2 linked regions of the Nothobranchius furzeri genome follow. The protein of the gene in region 1 interacts with the protein of each later gene in a biochemical or structural test. Links are inferred from orthologs where the notes say so. Each region holds a gene or a part of one and is shown on either strand. Other genes may lie near its edges. The genes, in order: topbp1 and ticrr.

What was found.
Region 2: the proteins of topbp1 (region 1) and ticrr form a complex in vitro, tested with the Homo sapiens proteins (2 studies listed by BioGRID). The link is inferred for Nothobranchius furzeri from reciprocal best matches to the Homo sapiens genes TOPBP1 and TICRR.

What each region holds. Positions count from the first base shown.
Region 1 is NC_091747.1:45,071,910-45,084,057, forward strand, and holds the start of topbp1 (DNA topoisomerase 2-binding protein 1), read left to right. Parts: upstream 1-6,363; 5' UTR 6,364-6,557; intron 6,558-6,731; 5' UTR 6,732-6,737; coding exon 6,738-6,824; intron 6,825-6,901; coding exon 6,902-7,036; intron 7,037-7,134; coding exon 7,135-7,278; intron 7,279-7,364; coding exon 7,365-7,546; intron 7,547-7,635; coding exon 7,636-7,829; intron 7,830-7,905; coding exon 7,906-8,082; intron 8,083-8,160; coding exon 8,161-8,327; intron 8,328-8,408; coding exon 8,409-8,572; intron 8,573-8,898; coding exon 8,899-9,128; intron 9,129-9,206; coding exon 9,207-9,523; intron 9,524-9,603; coding exon 9,604-9,776; intron 9,777-9,913; coding exon 9,914-10,125; intron 10,126-10,215; coding exon 10,216-10,511; intron 10,512-10,585; coding exon 10,586-10,771; intron 10,772-10,880; coding exon 10,881-10,996; intron 10,997-11,129; coding exon 11,130-11,253; intron 11,254-11,392; coding exon 11,393-11,539; intron 11,540-11,608; coding exon 11,609-11,678; intron 11,679-11,755; and 3 more. UniProt on the Homo sapiens protein: Scaffold protein that acts as a key protein-protein adapter in DNA replication and DNA repair. Composed of multiple BRCT domains, which specifically recognize and bind phosphorylated proteins, bringing proteins together into functional combinations.
Region 2 is NC_091744.1:54,999,669-55,011,671, forward strand, and holds the end of ticrr (treslin), read left to right. Parts: intron 1-2,771; coding exon 2,772-3,049; intron 3,050-3,241; coding exon 3,242-5,381; intron 5,382-6,671; coding exon 6,672-6,800; intron 6,801-7,052; coding exon 7,053-7,165; 3' UTR 7,166-7,296; downstream 7,297-12,003. Other genes in the region: ckmt1 (creatine kinase, mitochondrial 1), read left to right, coding at 11,219-11,364.

The sequences.
Region 1 (12,148 bases):
TCAGAATATTAAATGAATAAAATAACTGAAGGAAAGGAGAGTCTTCTGACACGAAGAATGACTTTGATTTTGAATCTATGTGAAAAACTAGTGCAATTTGTGAAATGTTCAATGTAATATTGCATATATAAACTTTCTATATTGAATGTACATTAAAAAAATCAGTCACAGTTGTACATAAAATTTTAAGAATAAAAGGGAATCCAAAGTGGTGATCTGTTTGTTCTTCATGGTGATTGATTTCACGTTCACTCGTGATGACAAAGATAGGTACGATATAAGATAAAATATTATAAACACTGCAGAGACGTCATTATTTATGAAATATACGTTATTTTCCTGAGCCATTACTTCAGCCAAGAAATAAGATGCATGGATTTGATGAAACCATGCTGTCTCATGCAGTCCCAAATGTGAAACACACACACACTGCAGCATGTTAGAATCTTTTGATTGGCTAATTTAACTACATTGAACTGCTTTTGTAAAAATGTAATCTCTTATTCTGGAGTAAAATAAAGAAACAAACTAAATCATCACATCTCTGTGGCATCAATAAGCATCTTCTGAGTTCAAACAGGGATGGAGCACAGTGTTTACATTTGAACAATATCAGGATGTTTTAACCCACGGAGGCCTGCAGGTCTTCTGTTTTATGAGCAAAGCGCTGAGAATCCGCTTGTTATGAGCGCTGAACGTTATTTTGGTGCTTCCGTGCGGAGCGGTAGGGAAACATTTCAAACACGGAACCGAGCCTGGTTACCGAACCGAGCAGAATTCGGATGACGTCACACCGGTGCGCGAAGGTGCGGGTTCCAACCCACAGGAGAGGAGGGATAGAAGAGGTAAACAGCGAGTGGATCACAGGGACAGAACTGATGTTTTAGAGCAAAACTGCGGTAAAAATGGCTGTTTGTCTTCATTATCTAGATTGCCCCCCCCCCCCCCCCCCCCCAACCCCTGAGACGCGGTGCTCATGCAGGCGTCCCTTTCTGTTCCGACGCTGCTACACGTAATATTTTTAATTTATTAAGCCTACAGTTTATTTTTACTCAGTAACGGATATGATTTAAAATGTAGCTAATTAAAATTATTTTTTAAAAACTTACTCAAGTAAAAGTACAGATTTTGAAAACGACTTAAAAAGTATAAATACACAAAAAACCTACTCAATTACAGTAACGTGAGTAAATTGTAATTCGTTACATTCCACCTCTGCCTTTGTGTTTGTCCCTTTAATGACGTCATAAAGGGCGTTGTTGTGTCGTGATCGCTTCAGCTCCATTACCAGTGACGTCAGACTCGTCGCTCAGTCCACACGTTTACAGCGGGACGAACAGATCTACTCTTTACTTTCAACATGTTATCGCCTTTTAGAATGGATTTAGTTCATCTGAACAGAAAATTAAAGATGGAGAGGTTTAAAATACAAAAGAAATATGAAGATTTAGGAAAGCAAATTCTGAGAGAGCAAGAAGACATTTCTGCAGAGAAACTCAGGTTAAAAGAGAAGCATTCTGCGGAACAGAAAAAGCAACATCTTGATCTAATTCTTGCATTAAGACAAGAAAAAGATGCGGTTTCTGCTAATGATAAAACAATTTCTGAACAGGGCTTTTTAATTACAGAGCTCCAAGATGAGATCAAACCCCTAAAGGATTATAAATTAGGGTGTGATACGCAGGTAGTCCATATGTACCGAGCAATTAAACATTTTTCACCCCGTACCATAGACAATGAAGAACTGCAGTTCAATTCACCGGGTCCATCGAGTAAGATAAACACGTTTACTGGTCTTGAGAAGAAAAAATATATTTCAGGTCATTTAATAAAAAATCAAAGAAAAATTCAGGAACTTGAGGACACGCTAGAAACCTTGAAAAGTCAAAGGCGTATAGAAAACCTTTTGTTAAATGGAGAAGAGAAAGATATACAGGCTTGGTTGGATGCGGACATAACCTTCGATGATTGGAGGTTAAAAAGGTTAAAGCAACAAAGACGGTTGATTCCCCAGGTGACTTCGATGGAACAGAACACGTTGGCTCAGATGGAAAAATATAACCAGTCAATTTGTGAAAAACTGGCACAAAGTGAAGCTTTCTGTGAACGATTAACAGATAAGCTAGAACAGCTCAATACAGCTTTAGCAGAAACAAAACAATTATTATCTGATTATAAGCAGGAAGATCCAAATCAGGACAAGGATGAGAAAATGGCAGCCTTATTGGAGGGGCTAAGTATAAAACGTTCTCAGCATCCATTTCCCTGGGATCAAAAGTCTGAAGAAAGTAATGAGCCAGAAATTAGTCAAGACATAGAAACAGCAGGGGAAACCTTAGAAACAGCAGGGGAAACCTAACTCAATAGGTATAGTGGAGTGGAGCCTAAAATCAAAGGCACACATTGAATTTATACTAACTAGTGGGAGGAGCCGGGGAGGCATATTTACCGAGTGGGTGGAGCCTACATCACCCTAATATTATGATTTCAGCTTAGTGTTAGCGTCGTTCTTAAGCAGGTTTAGCAATCAGTTTCAGCAAACATCATTCAGACAGCATTTCTGTAAACATGATATTTGTCTAGTCCTAGTAACATTACATTAAAGTGAGAGTCAAGGCATGGGTGGAGACATATCTCATGCACACTTCCAGTTAGGAAACGCTTCTGATAGAGGCGTTGGCTGGTGGATGGAGAGCAGCGCTGAGGCAGTGGTAGACGCACTGTCGGAGTTTCTCAGTCTAAAAACAAGTTGCGAGCACGCGCTCACACAAGACTTACCACTCAGGAGAAAAGCAGACAGATTCTGCAGCATTCATTTCCTGTTAACCGTGATCATTAGATGAAAAAGGGGAGAAGGGCATTTTTTTCAAGGGTTTAAGCAGCTAGAAGATATAATCTTATTTACATTTTACATGAATCGTAGCGTGCCAGAACAGAGCGTGGAGTCTCTGACATAATCTGATGGCACTGTTGGAATTGTCTTGCTCTTTATAATAGAAGATACAATCTTATTTACATTTTGAGAGACTTCTTTATCCAGGACTCCCTTCAAAGTCATACCACTGCTGGACTTTTCATACGGCATCCCTAAAACAAGTGCCATGCACTCACTTACGTCTTCCACCCTAGCAGACACGACACACTTATAATCTCCCATGGTCTGCATATATGTACAAATTTAAGGCAGCATAATGCATAAAACCTGTGCTGAGGCTACCCGATACATTTCAGTAGCCATTTCTTTAAAGATGCCTTCAAATTCTGTGCCTGCCATACCAGAAATCTGTATTTGCCACTGATCTGCTCTGATGTCAGATATATATTTTAGCAGTGTTGGTATGAAAACATTCCTCCCGAGGGAAACTGTATTTTCAAAAATAACTTTCTTCAATGAGTTCATTTTCGGTTTTTAAAAAAGGTCGTAGGCTCTTAAGGTGTTGCTGGCTTTACCGCTTGCTGTTTATGCCCTCTGACTTCTGACTTGACTAATTAGCTATGATGATGTCACAAAGGAACGCATTCCAGATGAAGTGAAGCACTTGTCGTGTTAGTGTTGTGGGCGTTATTATTATTATTATAATTATTATTATTCGATTATTATCTCACGCACGCAGGCACTGTACGTAGCACCGCACATCTCACGTGAGAGTGTATGTATGCATATGTCTAAATACATGTTTGTATGTATGTATGTACGTATGTGTTTGTAGTCATGTAAATATTCTCCTTTTGTGTTAATTTGGTATACATTTTTTCTCCTTTCTTGCTTTACGTTATTGTCACGTTTAGGAGAGAAGGTTGGACCCAGGATGCGGGGTCATGAAAGTCTCGGGGGCCGGGGCGAGGAGGGAACAGGAGGCAGGGTCATGAAAGTCTCGGGGACCGGCGACGGGGAACCAGGAGGCGGGACCATGAAAGTCTCGGGGGACGGGGAACCAGGAGGCGGGACCACGAAAGTCTCGGGGGATGGGGAACCAGGAGGCGGGACCACGAAAGTCTCGGGGGACGGGGAACCAGGAGGCGGGACCACGAAAGTCTCGGGGGCCGGCGACGGGGAACCAGGAGGCAGGGCCATGAAAGTCTCGGGGGCCGGCAACGGGGAACCAGGAGGCGGGACCATGAAGGCCTAGGGGGCCGGCGACGGGGAACCAGGAGGCGGGAGCAGGGAAGTCTAGGGGGCCGGCGACGGGGAACCAGGAGGCAAGGCTATGAAAGTCTCGGGGGCCGGCAACAGGGAACCAGGAGGCGGGACCATGAAGGCCTAGGGGGCCGGCAACGGGGAACCAGGAGGCGGGACCATGAAGGCCTAGGGGGCCGGCGACGGGGAACCAGGAGGCAGGGCCATGAAAGTCTCGGGGGCCGGCAACGGGGAACCAGGAGGCGGGACCATGAAGGCCTAGGGGGCCGGCGACGGGGAACCAGGAGGCGGGAGCAGGGAAGTCTAGGGGGCCGGCAACGGGGAACCAGGAGGCGGGACCATGAAGGCCTAGGGGGCCGGCGACGGGGAACCAGGAGGCGGGACCAGGGGAAGTCTAGGAGGCCGGCGAAGGGAAACCAGGAGGCGGGAACAGGAAACCCTGGGGATCGGGGGCTTTGGAGGGGGAGGCCGAGGAAGGGACTTCAGCGGACGAGGAAGGGTCTCTGTAGACAGGGACAGAGACTGGAACACGTGAGACAGGGACAGGGACTGGAACACGTGAGACAGGGACAGGGACTGGAACACGTGAAACTGGGACAGGGACAGGGACTGGAACACGTGAAACTGGGACAGGGACTGGAACACTTGAGACTTGGGAGACTGAAACGCTTGAGACTTGGGACGTAGACCTTGAGATAGGAGACAGGTAGACGTCGACTTCAGAGCTGGAGCTGTTAACATCTACTTCTGTCGACTTCGAGACAGGAGGCGGGGAGACAGCGACTTCAGAGCTGAAGGCGGGGAGACGTCGACTTCAGAGCTGGAGCCGGAAACGTCTACCCCAGAGCTGGAAACGTCTACCTCAGAGGCGTCGACCCTTGGACAGGAGGCGTCAACCCTTGGACAGGAGGCGTCGACCGGAGCCTCTTGGATGGACTGGACCGGAGCCCCTTGGACGGGCTGGACTGGGGGCTCGTGGACGAGCTGGACTGGATGCGCAGTGTCCTACGGGACCTCCGCTGAAGCAGGATGCGATGCGTCCTCCGGGACCACCGCTGGAGCAGGATGTGATGCGTCCTTCGGGACCACCGCTGGAGCAGGATGCGATGCGTCCTTCGGGACCACCGCTGGAGCAGGATGAAGCTCAGACGCGGGTCGCAGAGCAGGGGCCTCTTGGGTAGGCCGCACAGCTCTGGCGTCTGATGGATTCATGAGTCTTGGCTTGGGCTGTAGAGCAGGGGCCTCTTGGTTCGGCGGCACAACTCTAACTTAAGATGGCTTTATGAGCTCAGGTTTGGGTTGCAGAGCAGGGGCCTCTGAGATAGGGGGCACAACTCTGGCTGTAGATGAGTTCAGGAGTTCTGGCTCGGGCTGCAGAGCAGGGGCCTCTTGGTCAGGCAGCACAGCTCTGGCTTCAGACGACTGGATGAGTTCAGATTTGGGTTGCAGAGCAGGGGCCTCTGGGTTAGGCGGCACAACTCTGGTCTCAGGAGACTGCTGGTGATGGCGATGACATCTGCGACGAGCACGGCTCCTCGGAGGTGCGGGGATAACGCCGTAAACGCCCACTGGACCTGGTGGAGGTGTGGTGGCTTGGCCCATTGGAGGTTCCGCGATGGCGCCGGTCGAAACAGACGGAAAAGAGGAGTGACAGCCCACCGGAGGTGGAGAGGTGGCGCTGTCAGGACCAGGTGAAGGTGAGGTGGCTCGGCCCATTGGAGATATTTTGTAAGATAGGACTTTTTAATGCCTCATTTACTAAAGTACTCTACTGCATTGTTATTTTTATATTGTAATCAGTGCAAAAGGTCTGTTTATTGTGTATAAATTTGTAACACGGCCATAGACATGATTAGCACACTGCTGTTTGATTTTTGCAACAAAAAAAAAAGTATTAGCAAAAAAACTCCGATATTTTTTTTTCATTTTGATTGTGTGCCACTGTAAAATTGCATGACATTTGAATAATAAGCAATTAAATATGTACAGGTTCTCTAAAGAGTCCCTTTTTTTTTACATATGCATGATCATTTTATTGTGCCAGGTGGCAGGTCCCAAATTTCTTCAGGAATGTTATAGTTATTATTATTATTAGCCACAGAGGCGATGTTCTACTCGGACAGATTAGCAAGTAGGACCGGAAGTTCCGTGAAAGGCGCGAACTGTCAACAATTAGCTTAAATTTTCGTACTATAAATTATTTGTATATTTATTTAATGTTGTGGCGATTTTATGCCGGTTTGTCCTAAAAAAACGAGTTTTACATTTTTTCTAAACATTTTCACGTTGTAACCGGCTAAGTTAGCAGCAGCCATTTAAAACTCAACATCGTTTGTTATAAAAAGTTAGTTTTTACCGAATTTAAGTAGAAACGGAAATGTCTTTATATTCACTACCAGCCGGAGTCCAACCATAGGAGGTGAGTATAGTCCATGTTTTTAGTTATTAGGCTGATATGATCAGGCTAAAAGTGAACATTAGCTAGTAACTTAAGACTTATTACAGCTGAAGCTTTAGTCTATAAATAAATTCCTGTAATTTTAGATACTGCTTCCATCAAGTGGCAACTGTAACATACTGTGTTTATTCCAAGTTCAACATGCTTAAAGGAAACAAGGAATGCCTCTTAGTGAAGTTTGTGGAAAGTGAAGGATCTCTGACAGATCATGCCACCAAAGCGTATGAGGTAAATCTCACTGCCTTGCTTAATGTTTGTTTATTTATTTGCATTTAGTGATTCTAATTCTGTCGTATTTTATTCAGGCCATTTTGGAGCTGCAGTCTGAAAAGTATTTACAAACCATTAAGGAAGAAGATGTGCTGCAGATGAAGCAGAAGGACAGGTCTCTGTTTGTGTTGAGCAGCTTCACCTCTCCAGCTTTCCTGCACTGTATGCAGGTCTGATTCCGTTTGTCACACTCTGAAATTATAAGTCCTGTTGGGATTATTGAAACTCTTTGAGGAAAACTCTTCTTTTGCCTCCGTTTGTCCTGCAGCTTGGCTGCAGAATCGTGAGTCCACTGGTGGTGCTGTACTGCTTACAGAATCAGCGCTGTGTCCCCAAAGCAGAGAAACCTGTGTATAATATGGCAATGGCTGATGTGACCATTTCCTGCACCAGCCTGGACAAAGCAACACGGGTTAGTTAGTTAGTTAGTTAGTTAGTTAGTCTTCTTAATGTAATTTGAAGACTGTTGCTTTTATTTTCTAATTTGTGTTTCTGCAGACAGAAGTGATGGATCTGGTGCAACTGATGGGTGGACGGGCCAGTCTTGATCTCAATGTGTTTGTCACGCACCTGATTGCAGGAGAGGTTGGAAGTAAAAAATACCTGGTGGCTGCCAACCTGGGTAAACCCATCCTTCTGCCCTCGTGGGTCAAAGCCTGCTGGGAGAAGACCCAGGATAGGTGTTCAGCTTGATTAAACTAAAAAATAAAAACGGCTAATTCTAAAGGTTTTGTTCTAAAACCACCTCTTTACACCATTTTGTTCCCAGTCTTTTAAGGTATACAGACTTGCCAGTGGAGGATTATCTGTGTCCCGTGTTGCTTGGCTGTACAGTTTGTGTGACGGGCCTCTCCAGCCTGGAGCGTAAGGAGGTGCAGCGGCTCTGTGAGCAGCACGGAGCTAAATACACTGGCCAGCTCAAAATGAACGACTGCACACACCTGATTGTTAGTGAACCAACTGGTAAGTCACTAACGGCTTTGGGGAACTTGTTGATTTATTACAAACCCTCTAAGAATCCGTTTTATCGGTGCTCCAGGTCAGAAGTACGAATGCGCCAAGAAGTGGAATGTTTACTGCGTGTCTGTAAACTGGCTCTTTGACAGCATAGAGAAGGGTTTCTGTCAAGATGAGAGCAGGTACGCCGTGGACCGCCGTTCATCAAAAACCTCCGCACCGCACACCTCTACTCCTACTGGCACCAGCAAGCGGCAAGGTCGGCTGCTTGCCACGCGTCTTTTAGTTATTTAAAAATTGAGCATCTTTAATAATCACATCTGCATTTTGTCTCTAGATGGTCCGTCTCTGCTGGGCTTGAGCAACATTTCTGTCAGTGCTAGCGTTGGGGTAAATGACACTGCCCTCACCAACTCCACCGTGAGTCGTGTGGAGACGTCGGACCCCGTAGATTGCCTTGATCTCACCGTTTGTCCTGTCGATGATGTTTTGGATGGCTGTAAGGTAAAAACATAAACTTTTTTATTCTCTATAGTTATTTTAGTCAATTTGAGGTGATATTATTGTTGTTCTATTGCTGCACAGCTGTATCTCTGTGGCTTTCCGGTGAAGAAGTTGGAGAAGCTGCGGCGACTTGTAAACGCTGGCGGAGGTCTGCGCTTCAACCAACCCTGTGAGGAACTGACTCATGTGGTGATGGGAGAGCTGGACCAGGAGCTCCACAAGTTTCTCTCTAAAGCCACTTATAGGTAGAAATAATAATGTCTGGCTGTGAAACAAACAGAATGAACGTGTGAATGCTGGTGGTGACAAGCCTTACAGATTTACTGTAATTTACAAATAATTCTTATTTAAACAATAAAAATGTGCTTTAAACTTTTAAAATGTCTTGTTTTGATCTTTTAAACAATCAAGGTATTAAAAAATGTATTCCTAAATAAATCAGTATGCTTTTTAGGGTTAATAAAACATTTGATCTTTTGTTTGATCTGCAAAAACCGGAACATAAAATAAACAATTCTAGAAACGTGAAACTGACCTGAAATAAACTAGGTGTGTTTTTGTGATTCTCCAGGCCTCATGTGGTAACAGTGCAGTGGCTGCTGGATAGTTTCTCTAGAGGCGCTCTGCTCCCAGAGGAAGGATACCTCCACCCTGACTGCCTTCCTCCTGCTGCAGCTGCAGCATCCGTGCCACCTCCCAGATCATCAGCCGGACCGCTTGTTCCCAGTCCAACCACTCCCAGGTTAAAGACGGCAGATGAGGATCTGCTCTCACAGTACATGGACGGCGACCCAACAGTTGGTGGGAGTGTGCTTTTGCAGGATTTATTCTGCATTAGATGTGGGGGTTTTTAAACAAAGTACATTTTTGTGTTTTAAGTTGACGTGCCACCACCAGGAGGAGAGAACAGGGAGTCCATAAGCACCGCTGCAGAGCCCCAACCCGAGTCGTGGGAACCCAATCATACCAGAGCAACGCAAGACTCGACCCAGCAGGAAGGCCTGTTTGCCGGCAGGTCCTTCCTCCTTGTGGGTTTCGATCCTGAAGCCGAGGCGCAGTTCTCCGTGCTGGTTTCAGAACGAGGAGGCAAGGTACTGCCGGCCCGCACTCGAGCGGTGGCGGACTACGCCGTGGTTCCGCTGCTGGGCCGCTCGGTGGAGGCCACGGTGGACGAGGTCGTCACGGATACATGGCTGGTAGCAAAGGAACAAAAACTTTTATTTCTTTTGAGACTTTGGCATTTTTTATATTAAAGTTTTCCTGTTGTTGATTTCAGGCCATGTGTGTGGAGAAGGAGTGTGTTCTACGTCTGTCCGCCAACCCTTTGTTTGTCCCCGTCCCTGTGAGGGAGGGACATTTTCCTCTAAAGGACTGCGTCCTCTCCGTCAGCCAGTTTACTGGAGCAGAGAGGGAGTCCCTGGTGGAGCTCGCCAAGTACCTCGGAGCAAAGTACGACCACTACCTGCTCGTTGTTTTCTGAGTTTAACCTGATGCATCATAGATCTGAAATGGGACATTTGCCTCATTGCTTCATAAACGAATCACTGATGACCCCCCCCCCCCCCCCCCCCCCCCCCCCGCTGTAGTGTGCAGGATTATTTTGTGCGCCTGGCCAACCAGAAGAAAGGGATGCTGGCCAGCACTCACCTGGTGTTGCAGACTCCTGAAGGCACAAAGTACCAGGCAGCAAAGAAGTGGGGGCTCCCTGCTGTCACCATGCACTGGATTCTGGAATCCGCTCGTACGGGCAAGAGGGCGGCGGAGGAGAAGTACCTGGTTGACCTACCTCCTTCTCCAGGTTTTTCTCTTATTTATTTATTTTTTTGGTTCGTTTGAGAACAAAACCTGTCTTTGCTTTCCCAACACCTCAAATGTCCCTCGTTTGTAGAGAGAGATGAAGAGAGCTTTGTGGGCGGCTCCCAGAAACCCATCCTGCCTCCGCCGCGTCCACGTTCCCCTGAAATCCCTCTGCTGGGTCCGCAGGGCGGGAAAGCCGTCACCCCGCTAGACCTGGGCCGCTTCCAAAGCAAAGTGTTTCGCTCCGTGCTGGATGAGATGAAACCCGAACAAAACCAGGAGGACAGTAGAAGGAGGCGGCCTCAGAAGGAGCCTCCTCTGCAGCTGGACACGCCATCTCGGTTCCTGAGCAGAGATCAGCTCTTCAGACCGTCGTTTAACGTCGCGGTCAGACAGCAGCAGACATCCACACCGAACATTCCAAACTACAACATGTCATAGGCTGGGTTTTATTTTTGTAGGATGCACTGGGAGCTTTGGAAACGCCTGGTGGGCGATCAAAGCCAGGAGAGAAGGTGGAGACGCCGCTGACTGATGTCATCAACCGGAATCTGAAGGTGGCTCTGGCCAACAGCTCACGTGGGAACATGTCAGACCTCCAGGCCGTCACCGCCAGCCCACAGCTGGCCAAGACGACAGAGAAGGAGGTAAATATGTCCTAAACCTGCTTTTGGTTCTGCTCTTGAAAAGGTTGGAGTTTCTCTTTCAGCACCTGTAACTAATATAAATGTGATTCATCATCATTTTATCCCAAAGGCTCCAGAAGCAGCAGCCAGACCTCTGACTGGTGTTGTGATCTGTGTGGCGAAGAAGCTCAGCAAAATGCAGAGCGAACTAAACGCTGTTGCTGCCTCGCTGGGAGCTGACTTCAGGTGCTCGGCCTTCTGGGAGTTTTTAGTTACTAACCTGATGGATGTTTCTGTTTTAAACAATATAAACAAATGGGGCTACACTGGGACTATTACTGGGATAACCAGATCGTTCAAAAACACCTTTGTTTTTCAGATGGGCTTGTGATGACACGGTGACCCACTACATCTACCAGGGTCGAGTGGGGGACAGCTCCAGGGAGTACAGAGGGGTGAAGGAGAGAGGGCTGCATGTGGTATCTCAGTACTGGCTGCACGCTGTGAGTCTCAAAAATGTTTAAAGTCGGCTTTATTCAGTAAAGTTTTGTAAAAGTCTAATTTCTGTGTACAGATTTTTGATTTTGACACAAATAAAACACTCGTGTGTGTGCGTGTGTGTGCGTGTTTGCGTGCGTTCAGTGTGCCGAGGAGCAGAAGCACGTCTCAGAGTCTCTGTATCCGTTCACCTACAACCCCAAGATGAGCCTAAACCTGAGCCAGGTGCCCAGCAGCTCCCAGAAGTCTCCGCCTTTCCCACGAACACGGCTCCGAGACAAACTTGACAAGGTAGCATTGGTCTAGTGTTGCAACTGATGTTTTCCATCTCATGTCTGACGGTTCTGTTTGTCCCGTCAGTCTGAGCTCCCCGCTGCAGGAGCAACCTCAGCTGTGAGTAACGGAGGCGACGATCACGATGAGAAGAGAGGTGACGTGTGTCCGTCTTCTAGCTGCTTCTGCGTTTATGACGAACCACGAGGTAACAGAGGCCGTTTCACGTTTCAGACATGCTGGAAATGGGGGAGACCCTGCAACGACAGCTGCAGGAGATCATGTCCGCCACCAAGATAACGACGGGCAGACGCACGTCTGTGAGACTGGCTAGAATGGGATCAGGAGGTGCTGATTCTGGTCCGAACACACCCGACGTGAGCCGAGCCAGCCGCGGCGGGAGCAGACGGACCCTGGAAGCTCTCAGGTGGCTTTCTGTTGAAGCTAATTAAGATATTTCTATGTGAAACTTTAGTGTTTACATATTTTCCCCCCAGAGTTTCCAGAGAAGCAGCCCTGGACATCAACACGGAGCCGTCTCAGAGCGAGCAGATCGTCTGGGATGACCCAACGGCCCGGGAGGAGCGGGCGAAGCTGGCGGATAACTTCCAGTGGCCTGGAAGTCCG
Region 2 (12,003 bases), on another chromosome or scaffold:
CCACTTATGTGGTTATGATATAAGGCTGTTGCTGTAATTGGGAAGTGAACTGTGCTGGGCCAAACTAGGAGAATAATAAGATTTTCTGAGGGAAAGAGAAAAACAATTGTCTACCTTTCAGAAGAGGAACTGGCAAAAAAAACCATGGAAAATGTGTGAAAACGTTTGTTTTTAACCCCAAATTGAACAAGTTTACCTAGATCTTAAAAAGCAGCTCAGATGATGAAACTGCAACTATGATTCTGATAACAAGCTAACAAATTGAACTAGCTCCTCTAAGACAACCGGCTAGCAGAGCTTCTGACTGACAGTTTATGTGCAGCAGCAAATCAACTATCCTGATTAACAAGGTTATAAAAGCTCATAAATGAAAAATCACTTTGATGTGTGGGGGAACTTTTCCAGGCCCTCTTTAGCAGGGTGGGACTGGGAGGAGAGTGCTGTAGCCTTTTAGCTGGAAGCTAACTGGAGCCTGGGGCTAACATCACCACCCGGTAGAACACTAGCGACATGAAGGTGGGTTGGTTCACCGGCATGTGTCGGAGTCAGCCCGGTAAAAATGATTAACGACACAGAACGGACTCACGTTTGAAAGCAGCGCTGAATCCAGAAACCTCAGCACAAAGTGCGTTCGTTTTTCTGAGCCAGCATGACGAACAAGGGAACGGCGCCGCTAACTCAGTTTGGGTGTTGCGTTCCATCCTAAGGGTAGGGCGGGCGTATTACGTGAACGGACCCATTTGATTGGCCGCATATCAGAAGGGCTACATTTGATTGGTCAAATAATACTTCTGCGTAAAAAACAGAGCTGGTTTACAAAAAGCTGATGTATGACACGGATGGAAATGTTTGAACAAAACATTTATCGCCGTTTTTAATGTGCTTTGCGATGGGCCTATCGCACGTCCTGTTATCCCGATTACGATAATTTTTCGATATATTGTGCAGCCTTAATTAATGTGTAATCTTGTTTATTCATTCATATATACTCAGTGGTATGATTATATACACATGATTTTATGAAAAACAACACAGGGGTGGGTTATATGGTGATATAGAGTCATGAAGCACTGGAATGTGTTGCTGATGCCTAAGTGTTTCGCCTACATATACTCAGGTTGAAATTCCAGTGGCACTGCTGCAAGAACAAAATAACAAATATTCATGGTCAATTTGTGATTTCCTGGATAAGTTGTTTTTGTCAGATTATTGGTTCATAAATGTAGTGGTAATTAAAAATGAAATTAGCCAACACTGTGAAATGGCCATTCTATAGCTTAAAGAGCAAATTGCAGGTTAGAGACCCCATGAACCAATGTTTAAAGAAACAAAAGAAAAACTCGATTTAAACATTTTTTTACACAAACATAAATTCATTAGGCTTTTACAGTCATTTTTGTGAGAAATGTTTTATTTTCCAAACCAAGTGACATCAGCTGAGCGAGTCCTGTTAGCTTAATCCAGAGAAAAATATGGATTCTAATGCCGGCTCTGACACAGAGGAAACTTTAAATGTTTATTATTCTACTTATGATGCACCAAAACCATAAAGTTATGAGTTTGCTGCTCGCCCCAGAGAGCAGAAACAAACCTGAGGGAGAAACCATCGGCCAAAACAGAGAGATTGTGGAGAAGCAGTGAGGGAGCAGCAGGTGTCTTGTGAGTTAACGGTGCTAGCTTAAACTCGTGTACTAACATCACAGTGTTGGACAGATTACTACCATGTACCAGGCAATTAAAATAGTATCTGTTAGTTATTATAATATTAATACTAATGAGCGTCTGTCAGTTGTCATACTCGTTAATATCCGTTCACGTAACGTAGTTTAGCGTTGAGAGAGAGGCGCCTGTCATCCGGTTCTGGAGCTCATGCGGGCTTCTGTGAGCTGGATCCGGCCTAGACACAAGGGAGCCAGTTGAGCTGGTATTTTTAAAAGCCGTGCATCTTCTCCTGGTCGTCTAAGCGGCGGTTCTGATCCGGTTCCGACCCAGACACCAGCTCTACTGGCCCACTGAGCAGCGTGTCTCTTCTGGTGGTCGTTTCTGACCTGGTTCTGGTGGTGATCTGAGCTCCAGAAATCCGCATTTAATTTTTTAAACCCACCACGGGTCTCCAGAGCCCAGCGCGGACCTCCCTGTCCCGGTGCCGACCGATGTGGGCTACAGAAGTCCGTCTTTTCAGCTGTACTAAACGGCCTCAGGCCCGGAGATAGAAGCGTTGTTTCTTTTATCTGGAAACCCGTGGACTCGATGTCCAGACAGGCTGGAGTTGGTACAGCCTTCACAAACTATAGTATCAAAAGGAACACAACCCAAAACTAGCAAACACACACACACTGACTGGATCACATGACCTCTCTACCCTAAAACTACCCACTCTCCACACTGAGCTGAGGCAGCTTCTAGCTTCTAACTCCCTTTGGTTACGTCAGAGGTTAAGATTTAGAAAAAAGAGCCTTTTTAGAAGCTTTGCTGAGAAAGGCCACTTTTTACTAGAAAAACTCTGCCGTTATGTATTTTAAAAGGAAATATCCACAGTAAGCTTTTCAAATAGTATTTTTGGACAGCATTTTATATGAATTAGAAAAAAATGTATCTGCAATTTGCTCTTTAAATTAATTTCCACCTAATTTTGATAGCATTTGCCCTTCATGTAGATATTTGTTTCTTGGCTGCTTCTGATTTGTTTCTTTGTCATTAAATCAGAACATGAGTTTCAGTATTAACTCTAGCTATAAACTTGTTTAACTTGTGATTTGGTTTTGTTGCAGAATTGAGGAGGAGTCCAAGACTAAAGTCGTTTGCTAGAAGACACTCAAATGTTTTCTACTCGAGTTCTCAGCCTCGTTCTAGAAACCTAGAGAAGGCTCTGTCTGCATCCCAGCTCACGCTCAGTGACAGAACAATCCCCGGGATTAATGTTAAAGAGGTTCAGTCTCCTTTGCGTCTTCTTTTTGGAGCTGCTGATTCTCCCAGTCGTTCCTCCGTTGTGTTTGTTGAAAGCAGGACCACCAGGTCTCGCTTCAGCTCAGACTCAAGTGTCTTTGAAGTAAGATATCTCTTTAATTATTCTAAACCTCACGCACTTAAATGGATATGTCTAAAGTATTTATCAGACATGAAAATCTAACTTCATCAGATGGCATATTACCACACAATGTGATTTTCAAGCAAAAATTAGAAGAAAAGCCCAAATTTGTCTAATTTATTTTTATTTATTTATTTATTTTTGTATTTTTAGAGTCCAAACAGAACCCCAAAAAAGTCACTCAAACGTGGAAGGCCTGCTTTTGAAAATGTATCTCCTGGGACACTTCAGACTGCACAAATCTCATCATTGTCCACAATGGATGTTTCTTCGTTAGCCAAGAGTCCTGTAGCCGGCAGCTGTGGAGCTCCTGAAAGTCCTTTCAGACCTCCAGGCAGATCAGAAGTTGTTATAAACACACCTATCCAGCAAAGTTCTCTTACGAGCCCTTTAAAGGGTATCCTTAAGACCCCTGTTAAAGCTTCGATTCAGCATGGCGCCTCCTCAGGATTACATCTACTCAACAGCCCGGCATCAAGGACTCCTAAGAAGAGTGTTACATGGTCACCGTCTCCTCAAAAATATAGACTGGTGGAGGGCAGCACTACTTTTAAGGTCCCCAAGTCACCCAATATGGCTTCCCCCAGTTCTGAGAGACAAATGAAAATACCCATAAACAAGATGAGTCCTGTCCAAAATACAAACACTAAAAGATGTGTTTTTAACGTCCCAGGAAAGACTTGTCAAGTGAACCTGGTAAGATTCTTTGAACATGATTTGAGTCCAGAGAAAAATCATTCATGGGAAAAATATGTCAAATTGAAAACTCCTGAAAAAGATGAGAAACATCTGGAAATACTCCCTTCACTGTCCCCAACACCTTCAGACCAAAGGATCTCTCCTCAGTCCAACAGCAGAACTCAAGTAAAGAGCCCTAGTCCCACTCACAGAATGGTTACTCGCTCTGGACGAACTCCGGTGGGAAGTTCAAAAGCTGCATCCCAGTCTGACCCAACATTTCCCCCTTCAGGAGTCTCTGAACTTTCAGCCGGATCTGATTCTGCCGTTAAATTTCACGAAAAGAGCTTGAGAAGAATAAGATCTGGTCATAATCATGGAACAGCTAGAAATGACTTGGGATCTAAGTCGATTGAGAGTTTAGCCTCCCGACTAACGTCAGCCTTTCCTGAGAACCATCCCGTTACTAAAGAGGAGCAGGCAAAGAGCAATCAGTCTGCTGGATGTGACTCCAGCGTTCATACCGCATCGCAGGAGTTTGATTCATCCCATGGGAATTCTGCCACCACAGACGATGATAGTTTGGATATTGTTGATGCTGCAGTTGTTAAGGCTGAGTTTAATGAAGGCCTTAAAATGAACATTAGCTTCTCAAGGAAGCCTTCAGTGTCTACTGAAGAGTGTTTGTCAAACAGGGGTTCGCCTGCTCTACAGTCTCCTTCACACAACACACCTGGCCGGAGGTATGGCTTTCGACAAACCCCTGACCGCCAGCAGAGGGAGGCTGCTGCTCGTTTAGGATATGCAAATGAGTTTAATCACTTTTCAACCCCTAGAGGCCCAGCAAGATCCAAACAGCTAAAAAGCACCATTACTCCAAATCCACTCACCTATCAAGTTGAATTAGAAATGCAGACATCAGGGCTTCCCAAGCTCAAAATTAAACGCAGAGATTCCATGAGTACTGATGACTGTACTGATGGAAGTCCCTGGTCAGCAGCTCAAAGCTCGTCTGTGGGTAAAAAACTTAGCATGGAGAGTCCAGCGGCTTTATTTTTAAAGCACAGAGATACTGGATGTAGCTCACCGTTTGTCTGTGGTCATGTCACTCCAGCCAAGAGCACCCCTGGAAAAGGTGGTAGTGTCCAAACTTACATCTGCCAGTCATACACACCTACACGCCATGCCACAGTAGCGTCTCCGGTGACCACTGCGGAGATTGGCCCTTTAACTCCTTCACCTCAAAGTGTGGGGAAAGTGACTCCAGAAAATCTCAACAGCTGGCCTCGCAAGAAGAGAGCCCACATCAGAGTGTTTGGGGGGAAAGAGCAGGGCCCTAAGGGGGAGCCACAGCTGGAAGAGTTGTTGGAGGAGGCTGAGCTTGGTGTCAGTAGGTTACAGGACTTCGAGGACATCGACGAGCCTTCGAGTCCCACAGCAGAAAAAAAGGCTTTGAATTCCGAACAGTCACCCCCAACTGCTGCAGATGTTTCTCCTCTTTCACCACTGGAGGATTTGTTTTGGATGGAAAGGCTGGCTGAACAGACCAGCTGTGCTGATGCTCAGAGAGCTGAAGAAGTCCTCTGGGCCTCAGACAGCTGGGATGTCACAACAAGTAAGAGCATTTCCACAGTTCACACAATGGTTTCGGTTTTATTAATTTGAAAATCATGATGTAAGGTTATAACCACATCATATTGGTATTTTGTGATTACATTTGTACAGTCTCAAAGCAGGTTTTCAGTTCCAGTCTAGACATTACCATTCTCTGTTATTTGTATCTTTTGGGCTGTAATGTCCCCCAAAGTTTACAGATGATTGGGTTCATTGGCATCCCCAAATAATCGTAGCTTGTTTATCTGGATAATGACTAGTAAGCAGCCCAGTGTAATGATAATGAACTAGTGAGATGGATTGACGAGGAATGTTGGGCTGGGAAGGTGGTGGCAATGTTGAGAAGGTCACTCAAAGGAGGAGCATGATTATGGATGGCATTGAATGTAAATGGTTAAAGTTCCATTAGTCATCACACACCAGTAAAATTCATCTCCACATCTGACTCATCCCCGTGGGGAGCGGTGAGCTTTAGCTATGGCCGTGCTCATGAACTATTTGGTGGTCCCCCCCCCCCCCCCCCATCCAGCGCCTTTAATCCAAGTATCAGGCAGGGAGGCATTAGGTCCCATTTTTAACGTCTTTGGTATGACCCGACCGGGATTTGAACCCCAATCTCCGAGTCTCAAGGCGGACACTCTACCACTAGATGGATGTTAGAAAGTTTTTCTGATCCTGGCCACTAGCCAGTGGTGTTAATGGAGGACAGGGGTGATGTGATAAGAGTGGGTTTGAGTGATGAAGCAGGTTACTGATTTCTGGACCAGCTGAAGCTTATGGAGGGATTTCTGAGTGAAAAGCCTAGACAAGAGTTACGGTAATCAGTGTGGGAGGTAACAAGACTATGAACTTGAATGGGTGCAGCATGAGTTGAGAGAGAGTTGGTAAAGTTATGAGGGAGGGAGAATGGAGTCGGGTTTACTGGAGTGGTAGAGATTTCACCAAAGGGGAAGATGTTGGGCATAAACTAAGGAGCCCCAGGATGGAACCCTGTGGCACACCACAGGTAATAGGATCTTAGGGATCTTAAAGACTTAAGTTGAATGAACTGGGTGTGACCCAGTGTGTCTCTGAGATGGGCTTCGTTGTCTCATCCATGACTGAACAGATTGAAGCAGGTTTAGACACATTTTTGAAAGGTTTGAAATCATAAATGACTAAAACTGAACTGAAATGTTTTTTTGTTTTTGTTTTTTACATAAAACATTTGAGAAATCTTTGATCATGGTTATGATGACCTTGAGCTGGAATTTCAGTAACTTACTCAGCTCTGTTTTCTGTATTGTGGTAGCAGTGACCCCGTCCAGCATGAAGAAGATAAAACCAGTGACTGCAAGTGGTATTTTGACCCTCACCCAGTCTCCGTTGCTGTTTAAGAAGAAAGCTGATTCTGCTTGTAAGGGAGCAGCAAATTTTAAAGGTAAGATGTAAACATGACTACAGAATACGTGTTTTCATCCTTAAACTGCTAATTTATCTTAGATTTCAGGCACCTATAAATGAGCAAGCTATTTTAGCCAAATATATGATGCCATAGCTGCCTTACTGTAGTTTCAACTCGTTAACAGGACCTAGTTATTCCTGAGAGCTTAAACAAGATAAATAGAGTAGATATTGCATGATGCATACTGCAAGTAAACTCATCCTGTCTTTGTTTCCCCCTTTGTTGTAGAAGAAGCTGCTTCAGGGACGACAGAAGTAGTTGCTGAGCAGTCCCCTTTCAGACAGCCAGTCAGACACTCAAACACGGGGAAGACCTACAGCAGAAAGAGGCTGCTTCACTGAGCCAAACAAAAAGCCTGCACGGCAAGCAGAGAAAGACCCGAGCTGTTATGAAAGACGCCTTCTGCCTGCTCTGATCCAAATTCACTGGTTGATTGGTCAAAACTCTGGGATTTGAGATGAAGAGTGTGGTTTAAAAAAGATTATTTTTATAGATGTTGGAAGTTGATTTCACGTTTTGTTGTAATTACGATTCTAAGGTTTCCATGTTGCCTGTTTTTTTTTTTTGTTATAAAATAAACATTTGGGTAAATAATGTCATTTTATTTATTTTTTTAATTAAGAATTGTAACATGTTACAGTCAAGTCATAGTCTAACTTCAATATTGTTTATTTGTTTAGTTTCATATAGAATCTATTGATATTGATAAAATCACTGATATTTTTAATGAAATGGGAATGTCCAACTGTTGTAAATATGTTGCCTAAATTTTGTAAATAAAATTTATTGTTTTAAATTTATTGAAAAGCAAACAGTTGTTCTGTGTATTGAAACTTTAACCAGATTAATTTTTAAGTTTCAGGGACTAAAGTGGGTTTATCGAGAAGTGTGACATGGTTTCTGTGTATTCACCTGCTTTTCAAGGGTTGTGCTGTCGGTCTGATAACACAACTACTCATGAATACATGAGTCTGCACCGTTAACCAAACAAAAGCAAGCTCATTTTGGCACAGTTTTCAGTGTTATTGCGGAACAGTTTAAGGCTGAGGCATATATATTATCTTTTATTTATTTGTTTGCTCTAAAGACAAACTTTGTAAAATTGCCCTTAAGTGGTATTTTATTTCTAGTTTTCTCACTTGTGGCTGAATATTATTTTAGCTGCATAAACTGCATAGAAGCAGCAGCTTCTGACTGGTCCAGGAACACGTGGTGGACGGATTTGGTTCATGTTGTGAACTTTGTACTTGGATTTTCCCACAGAAGCTGTGTATTTGCAGATTCAGGTTTGTTCACAAAAGGCTATCAGAAAGTGCATTTGCTAAAGTGCTACTTATACAACCAATTATCTGATGTGACCAAATGACATGACAATGTTGGGTCGATGGCTCCTGAAGTCTAGGTTGTTCTAATGTAACTGGGTAGGAAAAAGCTAAAACAATATGGGTGCTTCAGTAATTCTAACTTAAATGTTCTTTATAAAAACCATACCTAATGGATAAAAGCTTGTTTGCCGTGCTCTTCAGTAGTTGTGGTTGAATTTCTGATCTGGGATGCACTTCTAGATTTGGTGGCTTTTATTATTTTTGATAAGCATGGTTCAGTGCACACAGGTGCTGAGTCTAATAAAATTATGACAGCTGAAGAGTTTGTCCTTTGAGGGGTGCCCCCAAGGGGGCCCATGGCCGCCCTTAAAAAAATTACTGGCCTCACCCACCAGTAAACCATATTTGTGTCTGCACAAACAAATTAATTCTCCAATGTTTAAAATTGAAATAAAAGCATATACTTAATGAGTAAATGAAAGAATCATAATTTAGAAGATGTTTAAAGGTCGCTGCTTCTCATAACTTTCAAAGTGTAAATTTCCCGTTTTTGTGGATGTTTTAACGAAGACAGTAATGTCCATTAGACTCCTCCAGAATTCTAAAAAAAATATATGTATATATATATATATGTGTGTGTGTGTGTATATATGTATATATAAATATGAATGTATATATATATATATATGTGTTATATAAATATGTATGTGTATATATATATGTATGTACATATATATGTATATATATACATATATATATTTATATATACAATGTTGAAGTTGTTCAAATAACGGCCTGAAATGCCTTTTTATGAAATGTTTGTGTCTCAAATTTGAGGTCAAATGTGTTTGGACTTTAGTGAAATGAATTTAGTGTTTAGTATTAGATTAATCACCTATGGTCATGAGCTTTGGGTAGTGATCGAAAGAACGAGATCGCAAATACAAGTGGCCAAAGTGAGTTTTCTCCGAAGAGTGACTGGGCTCTCCCTTAGAGATAGGGTGAGAAGCATGGTCATTCGGGAGGGGCTCTGAGTAGACCTGCTACTCCTCCACATCGAGAGGAGCCAGTTGAGGTGGCTCGGGCATCTGGTCAGGATGCCTCCTGGATGCCTCCCTGGCGACGTTTTCCGGGCACTCCAACCGGGAGGAGACCTAAAGGTAGACCCAGGACACGGTGGAGGGACTATGTCTCTCACCTGGCCAGGGAATTCCTTGGGATTCCCCCAGACGAGCTGGCCCAAGTGGCTGGGGAGAGGGATGTCTGCCCCCATGACCCGACTCCGGATAAGTGGATGAAAATGGATGGATGGTATTAGATTAATTGTACCGCCTCTGGCAGACAGAGTTAGCATAAGGAGGACCAATTATTCAATGCTCCACCTCCACCCCAAAATTTTCTCTCAAGAACTAGGTTTCAAGAACTCTAGAAGGCGCTATATCAAATACAGGCCATTTACTATTTACTTTAAATCCAGTATGCGTGACGTAATGAGGAAGTAAACGCAGGTTTGAATGACTGGCGTAACCTTGATGCAGTGTGAAACAGATGAAGAAGCTCTTCTGTCTAATGAAATAGAAAACAGTGGACCAGTGGGGGACCTAACTGTATTATAGCGTTTTCACTGATGTGATGTGAATCATAGCCTCACTGATGATGGATGCTCGCCACGCACCTACTCACCATCAAGTTAGCCCAAATATAAGGTGTTGGACTTCCTGTAGTAAACAACCCCCCAGTAATCAAACGTTTTAAATGGTCAAATACTAAATGTTTAGTAAAAACTGAGAAAATAACGATTTTAAAACAAAACACGGTTTTTAAAAACGATAGCCTACTTTTCCTGCATATCAGTTCTGAATCTTATCTTCTCCCACACACCCACTTAAATGATTTTTAATAATGTTTTACTCGAAACACCTGCTTTAATTTCCATTAATCAGAAGTAGCACTTGTGTTGATGATTTCATCACCAAAAGGTCTGGTGTGTTTATGTTTTTATTTACTTTTGGACTAATGTGATGTTTAGCTACATTAATGTTAATCATCATGTAAAGTGTGTTTCTAAGCAGTTGTTGAAAAATAGAATTTAAATTGTCGATTTGTATTCAATTAAATTTAAAAATGCCCCCAGATGTCACCTCCTCTGCTAAAATGCAATGCATCATTTAATCTTTTTGATCAAGCAGACCAGATTTTTTACAAGTTAAATCCCGTTTTGCTAGTTCACAGCAAAAGTAATCTATAAATGAGTGTTAATCTTTTGCTCTTAAATTTCACCTGATATCCAAAAATCAATAATATCAGTAATACACAATCTACATTAAAGATATGGGTTCTCCTGTTACAGATGCAAATATGTAGATGTCGTGGTCAGTTGAGGGCCAACATGTGCTGCTGATTTTCACAGCTGATATCTAGATATTTTCTAACTTATTTACTTACTAAAACATGTCAGAAATATCAGTAGACACAGAACATTTCTGAACATGATTCAGTTTTTTTAAACTGAATTTAACAGTTAAATCTTATTTTGTGTTAGAATAATTTAACCAAAGTTAATAACTCCAATTATTAAATATGAAATGTCAGTTAAATGTAATGTTTTTGATGTTTATCAGGAATGTAAATATACGTTAATATAAAATTCAGGAGCGGCTCCAGGCTGCCCATGCCTGTATTGAAATCGGCTCTACTAGAATGGGCGGATGGAGACAACATATCGTCCCTGCTGTATGAGCCAAAGCAATATGGCAGCCTATCTCTTATTTATATAGGTTTTCGATCATTCTAAAATGTTCGCTTTAGACCATCATATCAGGCTACTTTCAAGATTATTAGAAACATGCACAACAATAGTCCGAGTCCAGAAAGTTTCCACGCATGAGCTTTTATTTTGAAACCTAGCGTAGCTTCCGGTCCGTGTCGTGTGTCTCCATCCATCTTGACGATCCTCCTTGAAACGTTCTCACAATTCCATCAGAGGCTCTTTCTTCATCACCTTCGCTCCAACCCAGTTCGTTTCTCCTTCCGTGGGATTAACATCTCTTTAACACTATTAAAATCAACATGGCCAGCAGCTTCTCGAGAATCCTTTCCTCCAAACGAAACATCGGCATCTTGTCGCTGATGGGAGGCTCCGTAGCGGCAGGGTTTCTGCTCCAGCGGGAACACGCCAGCGCCGGATCACCTCTGCGCAGGAGGTACCCCGCCAGGTAACGTTGTCCCTCCGGCCTGAGTGTCAGTTCAGAACATTTCTTAATGTTTGAGCTAGAGGCTGACCTTGTTTTACAGAAAAATGAGAGCTTTAGTGTTCAACGGCTGTGAAATAAAGCAATAAAGTACAGTGAATCATGAAGGTTAAGGAACATGAAGAAACGTTTAGCTTTTAAATGATTAAAAGTCATAATGATAATATTGAGGTTATTTTAGCATTGTTACTGAGTAATGAGCAAATAGATATATCATTTATAATTATTTATATTAGCTAATGGAATATTACTGCGTCTACTGGTCAAAGGCCCGAGGACCCGAAGAAGAGTGCCCTGCACCTCTACCAGAATTATTATATTATATTATATTATATTATATTTCAGAAGATTTACACCTGAAACGGAAACAAACTGACATTAATAAAGCAATGTCTTAAAAGTTGAATGCAGAATGACAAATTCGCACATAATGAATATTAATACATGAGTTCAAATAGACCAGATTGCTTATTTAAGTTGTACTCAGAATGAGGTCAGAGAACAACCAATAAACCAGATTTTAAACACGTCATAAATCTACTTTCATTTCCATGTACGGGAGAAAGAAAGAAAGCCTACGTGCTCAGAAACACACCTGCACCA